3 linked regions of the Macaca mulatta genome follow. The protein of the gene in region 3 interacts with the protein of the main gene of each other region in a pairwise test. Links are inferred from orthologs where the notes say so. Each region holds a gene or a part of one and is shown on either strand. Other genes may lie near its edges. The genes, in order: GOLGA4, NEFM and TNIK.

Region 1 (4,430 bases), about 17 Mb from region 3:
GGGATTACAGGCGTGAGCCACGGTGCCTGGCCAGAAATGGGATTTTGCCATCTTGGCCAGGCTGGTCTTGAACTACTGAGCTCAAGTGATTCGAAGTGCTGGGATTACAGGTGTGAGGCCACCATACCAGGCCACATTTTTTGTTTCTAAGATCGTAACAATTCACAAGCAGGGAGAAAGATATATGGCAGGCAGAAAGGAAGGTTACAAAATAACTATCAAAAGTAGACCACGAATGGCCAGGCGCAGTGGCTCACGCCTGTAATCCCAGCATTTTGGGAGGCCGGGGCTGGCCAATCACCAGAGGTCAGGAGTTCAAGACCAGCCTGGCCAACACAGTGAATATACATATAATCCAAAAGGATTATTTTAAACCTTTTGTACACAAAGTGATTTTATTTGATCCAGATGCCCTGTTTCACCAGAAGCATTAAGCTATAGAAACAGAGCTCTTACATCTTAGCTTGTGACTAGCTTATTACTAAAAACAACCTCTTTGTTAATGAACAAAAACAACTCATTTTCATGAAAAGCTAAACGCTACAAATAAGAAAAAGCACACTCAGTAATTCACCAGCACCTTAAAGTATATTACTCTTAAACTAGTTTTACCATGTGTATATATAAATACACTTACATACAGATTCTTTTCCCCAAAACTGGGATCACATTTTACCTGCTGCTTCTGTCTTTTAACACAAATATCTTTCTGTGTTAATACTTTTCTGAAGTCTCTAACACTAGCTGCGTAACATCAGGCAAGTTACTTCACCTCTTTGAGCCTCACTCCTTCATCTATAGAGGAGGAATTATAGTATTATCTACCTCACAGGCTTATGTGAGATTAAATAAAATGATCTGTGTAAATACTAAGCAAAATGTCTGGTACATACTAAGGACACAGTAAATGCTGACTTTTTATGGCTGCATAGTAACCTATCAAGCAAAACTAACTACCTGATAAAATTTATTTAACCAATTCTCTATTGGTGGACATTTCTGGCTAGTTTTTAACCTATTAAAACAACATTGACATGAAAATCCATAGAGCTAAATCTTTAATACATCCTAAATTTTCTTAGAATAAATTTCTAGAAATGGAATCCTGGCTCAATTACATTTTATACACTCCCAAATGGAAGTGCCTTACATTCACTAACATGCCCATTTCCTCACATTCCTCATCTCCACCTCACTTTTAAAGTTTATCTTTGTTTCTTAATTAACAGTGTTTTGTAAAATTTTAAAAGACTGCAGTAAATGGTATGAAAAGGACAATCTTTACTACTTAAATTTTAACCACCATTTATACTTGAGAAATGAAGCAACCCTTCAGTGCTGTGTTCTGATGTTTTTCTCAAGCACTGTTTTACTACACATGAGCTTTAAATTTAAAAATAATAACTTCAATTTATAGTTTCCGAATAAACCTAATGCAATCGTTCTATGTTAAGAATTTGGAAATGCCTCCAAGTTAGTCAAAACTCAGCTTTTCTTGCAACCACAAGCAAAGACCAAAAACCCGAAAATTAAGGGACAGATCTGCTCAATCTGTTGCAATTCAAAAAGGCTGGGAAGAAATTAAGCAGAAACCATCATCTTCGCTGTTAAGACCCTGTGCTGCCAGCATCGAAACATCTCCAGTTAACGCTTAGGAAACTGTATCTTTAATACTACTAACACGCCTCCTTTCCCCTGGAAACGCATTTCCTAAAGCAACAGCATTCCTGAAAAACAAACATAACCCTGTCCGCAGAGCAACAAGACTCAAAAAGCAGAGCAGAGTTCTGGACAGGGAGAGTGTCTCCCCCTCCGCCCGCCAGTCCCGGATCAACCAAGTTATGCGAAGTGACTAACTCGTGACAGCCTCGGGCGCTGGACGCCGGCCACGCCGCCACCTCTTTCATGTCCCACCGCTCCTACCAGCAGCCTGACCCAGGATGGCTCTATTCCCCAGCCTTCAATCCCTAGACCTGGGTTTGGATTTAAGAGACTTCCGTCAAGGGTCAGTTGTGCGGGATCCTGGCCATTTCACACAAAATCTCACGATGGGCATGAGAGAGGGGGACACCTCGAGCAGAGATTAGATATCACAAGGGACCCGGGTTTTCCAACCCCGCCCTCATTCCCAGCGTGGGGTCTCAGATGGACGGGGGAACCTCAAATACGGATCAGAAATCAGGTAAGTTCGGAGTCTGGCCTTAAGGAAAAACTCTTAACGGAGATGGGACGTCACGAGGGATCCAGCCACCCCCATCCACTCATTACTGGATGGAGTTTTGCGATGGGAAAATCCAGGTCAGGAGTTACGGGCGACCTGCACCGCCCGGAGCTCCTTCTGGATCCGGAGTTTCGGAAGAGTCCAGGGTTAGGGGTCAAAGGTCACGGAAGAACGCCCCACTCCCCCCGCCTTTTTCGTCCGCGGGCTGGTTCAAGGGGTATCGGGAGCCAGGGGAGGAAAGCTGCGGCCATCGTACCTGACCAGGAGCCAGCGCCTGCTGGAGCTGCTGCTGCTCCTCGCTGATCTTTTGCTTCAGTTTCTTGAACATGGCGCAGCGTACGTAGGGTCCTGAGTGTCAATGAGACCTGAGGGGCGAGAGCCCGGGGAGTCCCGGCCGCGGCGGCTACGGCGACTTCTCTACACCAGGGACCGCGGGGACCCGGCCTCGCCGCCTCCTCCTTGAGCCTGCGGGCAAGTCCGGACACTCGTCCTGAGGATGTCGGCGTCGCCGCCGCCGCGTCTCTTTCTTCCGGGTGCCACTGGCTGGCCTCGGGCCCCCATCCAGCCCCGGGAGCCGCGGCGGCGACGACAACGGCAGCAGGTGAACTGTGCACCAAGGGCGCCTGCGCCGCCTACGTGGAGCTCTCCGAGGCTAACTACGGAGCACCGGAGGGGACAAGCACAATGTCGGGGCCTGCACATGCGCGCTCGGCCTGTCGCTCCCGAACTCACTGCACTGGAGGACACAAGGTTCGGGGCTGCCTGATTTCGTTGCGTGCGGCCCTCGCGGCTCAGAAATGGAGCGAGGGCTAGTCTGAACACCACACTGACTCTCACCTGGGCTTTGGCCCTGCGAAATCAGACGGGGAGAGTACTGCTTCTATTGATGGCAGCAGGGCCGACGGGCCCACTGCAAAGAACACAGGGATGAGCTTCCAGGATGGGAGAAGGGGAGATCCAGAGAACCTGACGCGGGCCCTAATTGATAGTGTACTTTTCTTTAGTAGCTGTAGCTAGGATTCTATGTCTTCGGTTCCAGAGGGGCCCGCTTCCCTTCCCGGAACTCTTCCAGCGTCGGGAAGTCCCTGATACCGGCCGCCAGGGGTCCAAATGTTTTATGCCAATACCGTAAAACCTCAACTGTTTGGACACCTGCTTTATTCTTTTCTTCACCGAAATCGTATATTTCACAAATTCATTCAGAAACCTTTATCAGGCCTTGGAGATTTCACAGCCTAGTGGAAGACACAGATTCCTAATGAGTCCAAATTTACTCCTAACACCTGCAGTCATCCTACAAGATTTTAATGTTTATGTGCCTCATTTATCCAAAACCCGAAGTTTGGCTGCCTGCGAATCCTCAGGTCCAATTTCAGCAACCCACTTTTGCATGCTGTACCTTTGGTATCATCTGAAACTGCTTACATTGAGGCATCAGAATCTAACAGTATATGCTGATCTCCACGTTTTAGCAAATTTTGTTTTCCAGCAATAATAGGGGGAAGCTGCTCTCGAGAGTCCATATTCTGATCCCTAAATGTATTAGAGCCAAAGTGGGGCCTGGAACACTGCCTTAACACCTGGGCTAAGTCCTCTTATATCTCATAGTGAACACCTTATGTAAGGGGTCCCCAGCCCCTGGGCCACAAACGAGTACCAGCCCATGGCCTGTTAGGAACCGGGCTACACAGCAAGAAGTGAATCTCTGGCACGCCAGGGAAGTTTAATCTGTATTTACAGCTGCTCCCCAAGGCTCATATTATCGTCCGAGCTCCACCTCCTGTCAGATCAGCTGTGGCGTGAGATTCTCATAGGAGCTGGAACTATTGTGAACTAGGCATGAGAGGGATCTAGGTTGTGTGCTCCTTATGAGAATCTAATGCCTGATGATCTGTCACTGTCTCCCATCACCCCCAGATGGGACCATCTAGTTGCAGGAAAACAAGCTCAGGGCTCCCACCGATTCTGCATTATGGTGAGTTGTATAATCATTTCATTATATATTACAATGCAATAATAATAGAAATAAAGTGCACAATAAATATAATGCATTTGAATTGTCCCAAACCATCCTTCCCCATCCCCCAGCCCCACCCCCAGGAAAAAATTGTTTTCCATGAAACAGGTCCCTGGTACCCAAAAGATTGGGGACCACTGCCTTATATAATTACTGAGTTTTTTTTCTGGGCTGTTTTGTTTTGTTTTTCAA
Region 2 (4,183 bases), on a different chromosome or scaffold from region 3:
TAGATTTTCAGGATACGTACTATTTTTAAAGCAAATATAACTTTCATAAAAATCTTGCTGTTAAGCATATTTCAGAACTTAGCCAGGTGTTAATATGGGTGTATCAAGTTATAAATTGGTCGATAATTTTTACCATAAATTGTCTATTTAATGTAGTTATTCAGCTTTCCTGAAAAGAGAGATAGCTCTGTAAATGCAATTTATTCTTGTTATATTATAACTACTTTATTGGTAGTAGAAAATTTTTAATCAACGATTTTGTCCTTTGCGCTTAGTCAACAGCAAGGTCACATCAGTTAATAGACCTATAACGTATCTCTCTATCTATAAAAAGATCATACACATTTGTGTCTGTATATCTAGATTTATATGCATATGCACATATATGTATCTATAGATCTAGATTAATATTATACATGATATAGATATAATTTATACTATAGTCTAGCATAAAATATAATACATATAAATTATCTACATATATAAAATAACTGTATCTATATTCTAATATATCATTCTATATCTATTCTCAGCCAGATGATGGCAATAGTAAGCTGTATAACAGAGAAACAGAGAAATAGAATGTCCTGGTGTTTGTCCTTGACATTATAAATTTGAAAAGCTGAAACCACTAGATGAAATATTAGAAACCAAAACTCTGTTCATGCTTCCAACATTTGAAAACATTTTTTCATAAAAAGTTTAAGCATATGCATTGATATTAATCTGCACCTCCTTCGTCTAATTCAAAAATCTTTTGCTTCTACTAGTATTTATTCTTTTAAAGCTGCATAAAAAGAGAGAAAACTACACTTGCAATTCTTTAGAATAATTTTTTTCTAAGTAAGCAAGAAAACCAGGCGCTGAGTTGATGCCTGCACCCTGCCTGCTTTAACTTTAGTGGTGAAAGCTCTGCCCGAACAGCCTCTGCATGGTGGTTAGTATTCCGGATACGCATGTAGTGAGCACCGTACCTGTACGCAGCGATTTCTATATCCAGAGCCATCTTGACGTTGAGGAGGTCCTGGTATTCGCGCAAATGACGAGCCATTTCCCACTTTGTGCCCCGAAGCTCATTTTCCAGCTGCTGGATGGTGTCCTGAAACAGACACAGAGAGTCTCCCTAGACTCATCCTTGCAAACAGCAACTTCCTTCGCAAACCACTTGCTACCCCTTCCCTCTCGCCTCCTCCCATCTCTATCCGCTTCTGCAAACCTCGCTGACACCCGACTCCCAGCCCCCCTCCCCCACCCCCTTTTTCTTTTAAATCTAAGGGATTCTCAAGGAACATACAAGATCAGTAAGACAATAGGACACTTCCTGGGCACATCACGCACGGAGATCAGTGGACTTAGAACACGTCTCAACAGGACACAAACATGCATGGGGAAACTCCATGGCTGACCTGGCCATTCCCATCTGAGCCCTTTGGGCTGAAGCCAATTTTTAGAGCTCTTCCGATCACTGCCGGAAAAGTAGAGAATACACGGGTTTCTGCATAAGCTATCCTAAAGTTGCTGATTTATCCACTACCGAATTTATCCCTCCTGCTTTAAACGTGCAAGCGTGCAAAATTAGAACTGGAAAAGAAGTACGTTTTTGAAAAAGGTCAAGACCTTTAAGCAGCTGGGGCAGGTGGGTGGGGGCGGAGTATGGAGAATGAGAGTGGCGAGAATGCTGATCCGAAACTACCCTAAGTCTGCGGCGCGCGCGCTCTAGCGAGCGGCCGCCAGAGAGCGCGGCGGAGAGGGCTCCTGGGCACGCGCCCAAGTGTCGGGGGCGCGCGGCGCTGGCGCTGGCGCAGGCTGGCCGCGCAGCCGCGGTTCCTACCTGGTAGCTGCTGAGGTCGTGGTTGTGGCGCTCCTCGATGTCGCTGAGCTGCCGCTCCAGGGACTCCTTGGTGCCGCGCACCGACTCTAGCTCGATGCTCTTGGACTGCAACTGGCGCCGGTACTCGGCGATCTCTTCCTTGGCGGAGCGGATGGCCTCCTTGTTCTGCTCTGCCGCCTCGGTGAGCTTGGCGTAGCGGCATTTGAACCACTCTTCGGCCTGGTGCATATTCTGGTCGGAGTGGCATTCGAGCTGGGAGCGGATTTCCTTCAGCGCCGTAGAGATGTCTGTCTTCAGGTAGTCTTTGCGCTCCACCGTGATGTGTGATGCCTGGATCTGGGCCAGAAGGTCGGCCACCTCCTCCTCGTGGTTGCTCCGCAGGAAGGCCACCTCATCCTGCAGCGACTGCACCTTCTTGTCCAGCTCCACCTTGACCAGCGACGCCTCCTCGATGTCTTTGCGCAGCGCGCGGATGGCCGCCTCAGTGTCGTCGCGCAGCCGCGCCTCCTCCTCGAAGCGCTCCTTGAGCCGGTGGATGTCTTCCTCCAGGTGGTCCGAGTCCAGCTGCACCTGAGCCTTCTCGTGGTTCACCATCTCCAGCGTAGCGCGCAGCTCGCGGATCTCCTGGTCGTACGCGTCGCCCAGCTGGGCGTGCGAGGCCTGCTTCTGCCGCAGCGCCTGGATCTCCGCCTCAATCTCCTTATTCTGCTGCTCCAGGTAGTGCACCTTCTCTATGTAGCCGGCGAAGCGGTCGTTCAGCCCCTGCAGCTGCTCCTTCTCGTTGGAGCGGGACAGCTTGTAGTCGCCACCGGGTCCGGAGCCGCCGTTGAGCAGGGACGAGGACTGGCTGAAGTCAAGGCTGCTCTCGGCGGAGCTGAGCATGGCCGAGCTGTAGGCGAGGCGCGGGGCGAGCATGCTGCGCTTGTAGGAGGAAGACACGGTGCTGGGCGAGCCGCGGGACCACGACTGCGAGCGGAAGCCGCTGGACGGGGAGCCGCTGACGCGGCTGAAGCTGGAGCGGGTCTCGGTTACCCGCCGGTAGGCGGACGGGTTGCCCAGCGAGTCCAATGTGTAGCTCATCTTGGAGGCCTTGGGGCGTGTGGCTGTCACAGCGTTCTGCCGGCCTCGCCGCAGCCCATTTATAGCCGCGGCGCTGGTCCCGGGCCAGGGCCCCGCCCCGTGGAGGCGGCGGCCGAGGAGGCGGGGACTGCGGGCACCGGTCGGGGAGGAGGGGAGGGGGGCGGCTGAGCGGTGATTCAGCGCCCGCTCCACGTGGGCCCAGGCCGCATGGGAACCCGGACTTTGCTGCCCTGGGCCCAGCCCCTCCCCCAGGTTCCCTTTCAGTCCCAGGCCACTTGTCGCCGGGCAGTCGCCTTCTCTCCATTTCTCACTTCCCGATTGCGTTTCGCACCCTTGGTACAAATATCGCCAGCGCCCTTTCTTTGCCTGTCACTGTCCCACCGTTCGGGCAGCGCTTCCCCGACCCCCTGGTCTCCTTGTTCTTTAGCCCTCTACCCTCTTACCCTCAAGCCTTTCTCTTCTTTTACCCTTTCCCCGATACTTTTTTCTTTACCCATCTTCTGTGCTTAATCCCATCCCCTTCTTTTTTGGCCCCTCTTCTCCTTCCTGCTCCGGCCTTTAGTTCGCTTCACCCTGCCTTTCTCTCAGCCCCTTCCTCGCGGACCCTTTTCTTCCAATCTTTCCTTCTCTCCGTCTCTTGCTTCCCCTCCCCCTGCATTCCCTCTTCTCCCCTCCCCCACCCTCATCTTTTCTTGCCTCCCTCCCCTTCCCCCACTCCTGTCTTAAAGCAGCTGGAGATGAGCGCCAAGGAGCTGGGTCTAGAAGACAAAAAGAAAAGAAAAAAAATACTTTGAGGAACCGTCTGCCTGAAGGCTTCGGGAAGGGGACAAAGAGAACAGGCCAGGGTAGTTTTTTGTATAAAAAGTGGGATATTGCGTTTTTAACGTTTGGGGGACGTCCGCAGCTTCCGCAGGGGCAGAAGGTAAGGCGCTTGTGCTCGCTATGGCGCCGGCAGCACCAAGGACAGCGCCCAGGTCGGGCGAGCGGGAGGTGCAGCCTCCCAGGGGCTTGTCACCCAGCCTGGCCTGTCAGGTTGGCGGGGGGTAGGGGGTTCCCTTCCCCCTCTTCTCTCCGAGCAAATACAATTTAAACCTGCCTGTAGTGACTCTCTTTGCAGGAGCGAAGCTGGAATCGCAGGCTAAGACTTCTCTGCAATGCAGGGCTGGCACAATGAACAGATTGCAGATTTTGAAAACAACCAAAATTCATTGAAGTCAGTTAACAGAAATATGTACTTGCAGCCCAGTTTGAGTTTTCTAACGTATGATTGTA
Region 3 (2,838 bases):
TAGTGATTTTTTTAAATGACTGGTAATTCTAAATATTTTTTCTAACCAAGCCATGAATTATTCTGCCATTTGGACACCCAGATAAACAATCCTATTTTTTTTTTCACAGATTATTTTGATAGGAGTTCATTTGACCCCACTTAAGCCATCTCCATTAGATTCAGCTGGCTTACATTCTCCTCATCTTTTTTTGGAAGTAGTTGTGCTAATAGAAAACACATTAATTTCAATGTCAGCAAGATGTACACAAATCCCAACTCTACTAACAAATACTAGCACAGCTTTGGTCAAGACACAAAGCCCTTCTGAGATGCAGTTTCCTCATCTGTAAAAAAGCTATCTACGTTGGGGAGCTATTCTGGGTGCTAGAAATTATATATGTAAAGGGCCCCATGATTGGCACATAGTAGGTGTGTCATAGATTTACATGCTGTTTTTAGGAACAGATAAATTGAATTTTTAATCTAGTGACTAAGTTTGATTTGCCAGGGTATTTTACAAGTCAGTGGTTAAATTAAAGCAAATTTCAGTCTTTAGGGTGACAATGAAAATAAACAAAAACCTCTTTTTTGCAGTTCTTAGAGATGAATAGTCAAAGTGTTGTTTTATTTTTTAAAAGAATAATGCTTGGCCTTTCTTTGTCTTCTAGATTCAGGGCAATATCACTCCTCATGCTATTGTCATCTTGCCTAAAACAGATGGAATGGAAATGCTTGTTTGCTATGAGGATGAGGGGGTGTATGTAAACACCTATGGCCGGATAACTAAGGATGTGGTGCTCCAATGGGGAGAAATGCCCACGTCTGTGGGTAGGTTAACCATTCCTTATCTCCTTCAGCAGTTACACCCCCCAAATGAAACGAAAACCAAGAAATGTGAAACAACCATTTGATTCCACACCAAAAAAAAAAAAAAAAAAAAACAGTCTGTGAATAACTCTTGTAAGACTTGCTTTGTCCATTTATCTCAAGTCGTTTGTCATTTTTGTGGTTAAGATGTGAACAGATGCTGTGAGTTATTGCCCATCTAATGTTTTTAATGCAGTTTTGGAAATTCCTTTTGACAGCCTACATTCATTCCAATCAGATAATGGGCTGGGGCGAGAAAGCTATTGAGATCCGGTCAGTGGAAACAGGACATTTGGATGGAGTATTTATGCATAAGCGAGCTCAAAGGTTAAAGTTTCTATGTGAAAGAAATGATAAGGTAAATCCGTTTCAACATTTGCATTAGTGTTTGCATTTTAAGAGACCACCAGGTACCTGTGAAACCTTCATTTTCCTTTATACTGATTTGAATCACATCTGTGTTAAACAATCAATATTATCTTGAAATGGCATTATTTGGTTTGATCCATGTGAACACTCAATATATTATTCACATGTCAAAAACTACATAAAAACATCTAGAAATTTCTTGTAAACTTCTTAGAAATTTTTGTGGCTTGAAGGCCTTATGATGACTCAGCAGACACCACAAATTCTCCTAAGCACTTAGAGCAGTTGGCCCATCATTAATCATCTCACAGTGGGTCAACTTTATACTTCCACTTTTAGACTTTTCACAAAGTCACTTTCAAGACCTAACCAATCACCTTATATTCACCTTTAAATCCAAAACATTTGACATGTAGAAATATAAGCTTTTTTAAAATGTCACCCATTCCTTAAGGAACTCACAATCACAAACTCAACTAGTGCCATGTCTTGTGTCATTCCAGCCATGTTTCTTCTGAAATGTCATAGGTGAACTGTTTTCCAGTGAAATTAGCTGTGTCCGTCTGGCATGATCAGTCACCTCAGAGGAGTATTCTGCAGCAGTACTGCTTCTCCCTTACCCTCCCTATAGAGTAACCCTGAGGTTTTAGTAGCTAAGCCGTATTGCATTTGTGAATTCATCCTTTGTGGCTGTGGCCAACATAGAAATGCTGTCCCCAAAGCCACAGACATAAACACCTATAGAAAAACAGTATGATGGGTTGAATTTTTGTACATCCCTTTGTCCACCCCAGTTCCTCAAAGATCAGGTTGGTCTTAGTTCAACCCTGGTGATGTGGGCCTAAACTATATTCAACCCTGGCCCACTACTCTGACCTAATGTGGTCTGGGTGGACAGTAGCTGCAGCTGGCAAAGATGGTTCCAGCCATTTAGAGTTTCCCAGAAAACAAACCTAACCTAGTAAAACTCTAGCTCCTACCTAGTCTCTAAGAATCAAAAAACTAGGAGTAATCTGGGTATGGATACCCACACTCCAATTGAAAACCTACCCTAGCAGGCCTGCTCCAAGCCATGCCACACCCTTAGGAGTAGGCTGGGACCACACCAGTGTCTGGAACCCAAAGTTTAGAGCCAGGGGCACACAACTTGGAGGGAACAGCAGCCCTTTCTTTTCTTCATTGTGGTTTTCCATGGGCCCTCTCTGTCCTCCGTTTTGATTCATTGACCCTAAGAGTAGCATTACTTTCATATGTAGCATTAGCTGAATGTCAAGCATTTCCACAGACCTTCCTAAGAAGTTGTTGAGAGACAGCATTCTTCTGAAGAAGCTGTAGAAATGAAGTAGCAGACTTTATACTAGTGACAAAAGCAAATGCCTCGGACCAAAGTTAGGTATTGGCTGACTGAAGGGCTAGGCCACAGCCCAAAATATTACTTTCCTGGGACAGTGGGTCTTTTATATTTAACATTCAGCTCAAGCAAGCAGTAACCCAAATTTTTCTCGCGTTTGTCAGTTGTTTGATAAAATGACTTAACAGACTCAGACCTAATGGACTGTGGTTCTACTTGTTAATGCTATGATCTCATTTGCCCTGGGATATGCCACCATCAGCAGAGAAA

The links.
Region 1: the proteins of TNIK (region 3) and GOLGA4 interact in a two-hybrid assay, tested with the Homo sapiens proteins (2 studies listed by BioGRID and IntAct). The link is inferred for Macaca mulatta from reciprocal best matches to the Homo sapiens genes TNIK and GOLGA4.
Region 2: the proteins of TNIK (region 3) and NEFM interact in a two-hybrid assay, tested with the Homo sapiens proteins (2 studies listed by BioGRID and IntAct). The link is inferred for Macaca mulatta from reciprocal best matches to the Homo sapiens genes TNIK and NEFM.

What each region holds. Positions count from the first base shown.
Region 1 is NC_133407.1:99,501,250-99,505,679, reverse strand, and holds the start of GOLGA4 (golgin subfamily A member 4), read right to left. Parts: upstream 2,832-4,430; 5' UTR 2,550-2,831; coding exon 2,478-2,549; intron 1-2,477. UniProt on the Homo sapiens protein: Involved in vesicular trafficking at the Golgi apparatus level. May play a role in delivery of transport vesicles containing GPI-linked proteins from the trans-Golgi network through its interaction with MACF1. Involved in endosome-to-Golgi trafficking.
Region 2 is NC_133413.1:26,649,406-26,653,588, reverse strand, and holds the start of NEFM (neurofilament medium polypeptide), read right to left. Parts: upstream 2,945-4,183; 5' UTR 2,912-2,944; coding exon 1,832-2,911; intron 1,100-1,831; coding exon 975-1,099; intron 1-974. UniProt on the Homo sapiens protein: Neurofilaments usually contain three intermediate filament proteins: NEFL, NEFM, and NEFH which are involved in the maintenance of neuronal caliber.
Region 3 is NC_133407.1:82,741,425-82,744,262, reverse strand, and holds part of TNIK (TRAF2 and NCK-interacting protein kinase), read left to right. Parts: intron 1-649; coding exon 650-809; coding exon of another isoform or gene 810-892; exon of another isoform or gene 893-994; intron 995-1,066; coding exon 1,067-1,206; intron 1,207-2,838. UniProt on the Homo sapiens protein: Serine/threonine kinase that acts as an essential activator of the Wnt signaling pathway. Recruited to promoters of Wnt target genes and required to activate their expression. May act by phosphorylating TCF4/TCF7L2.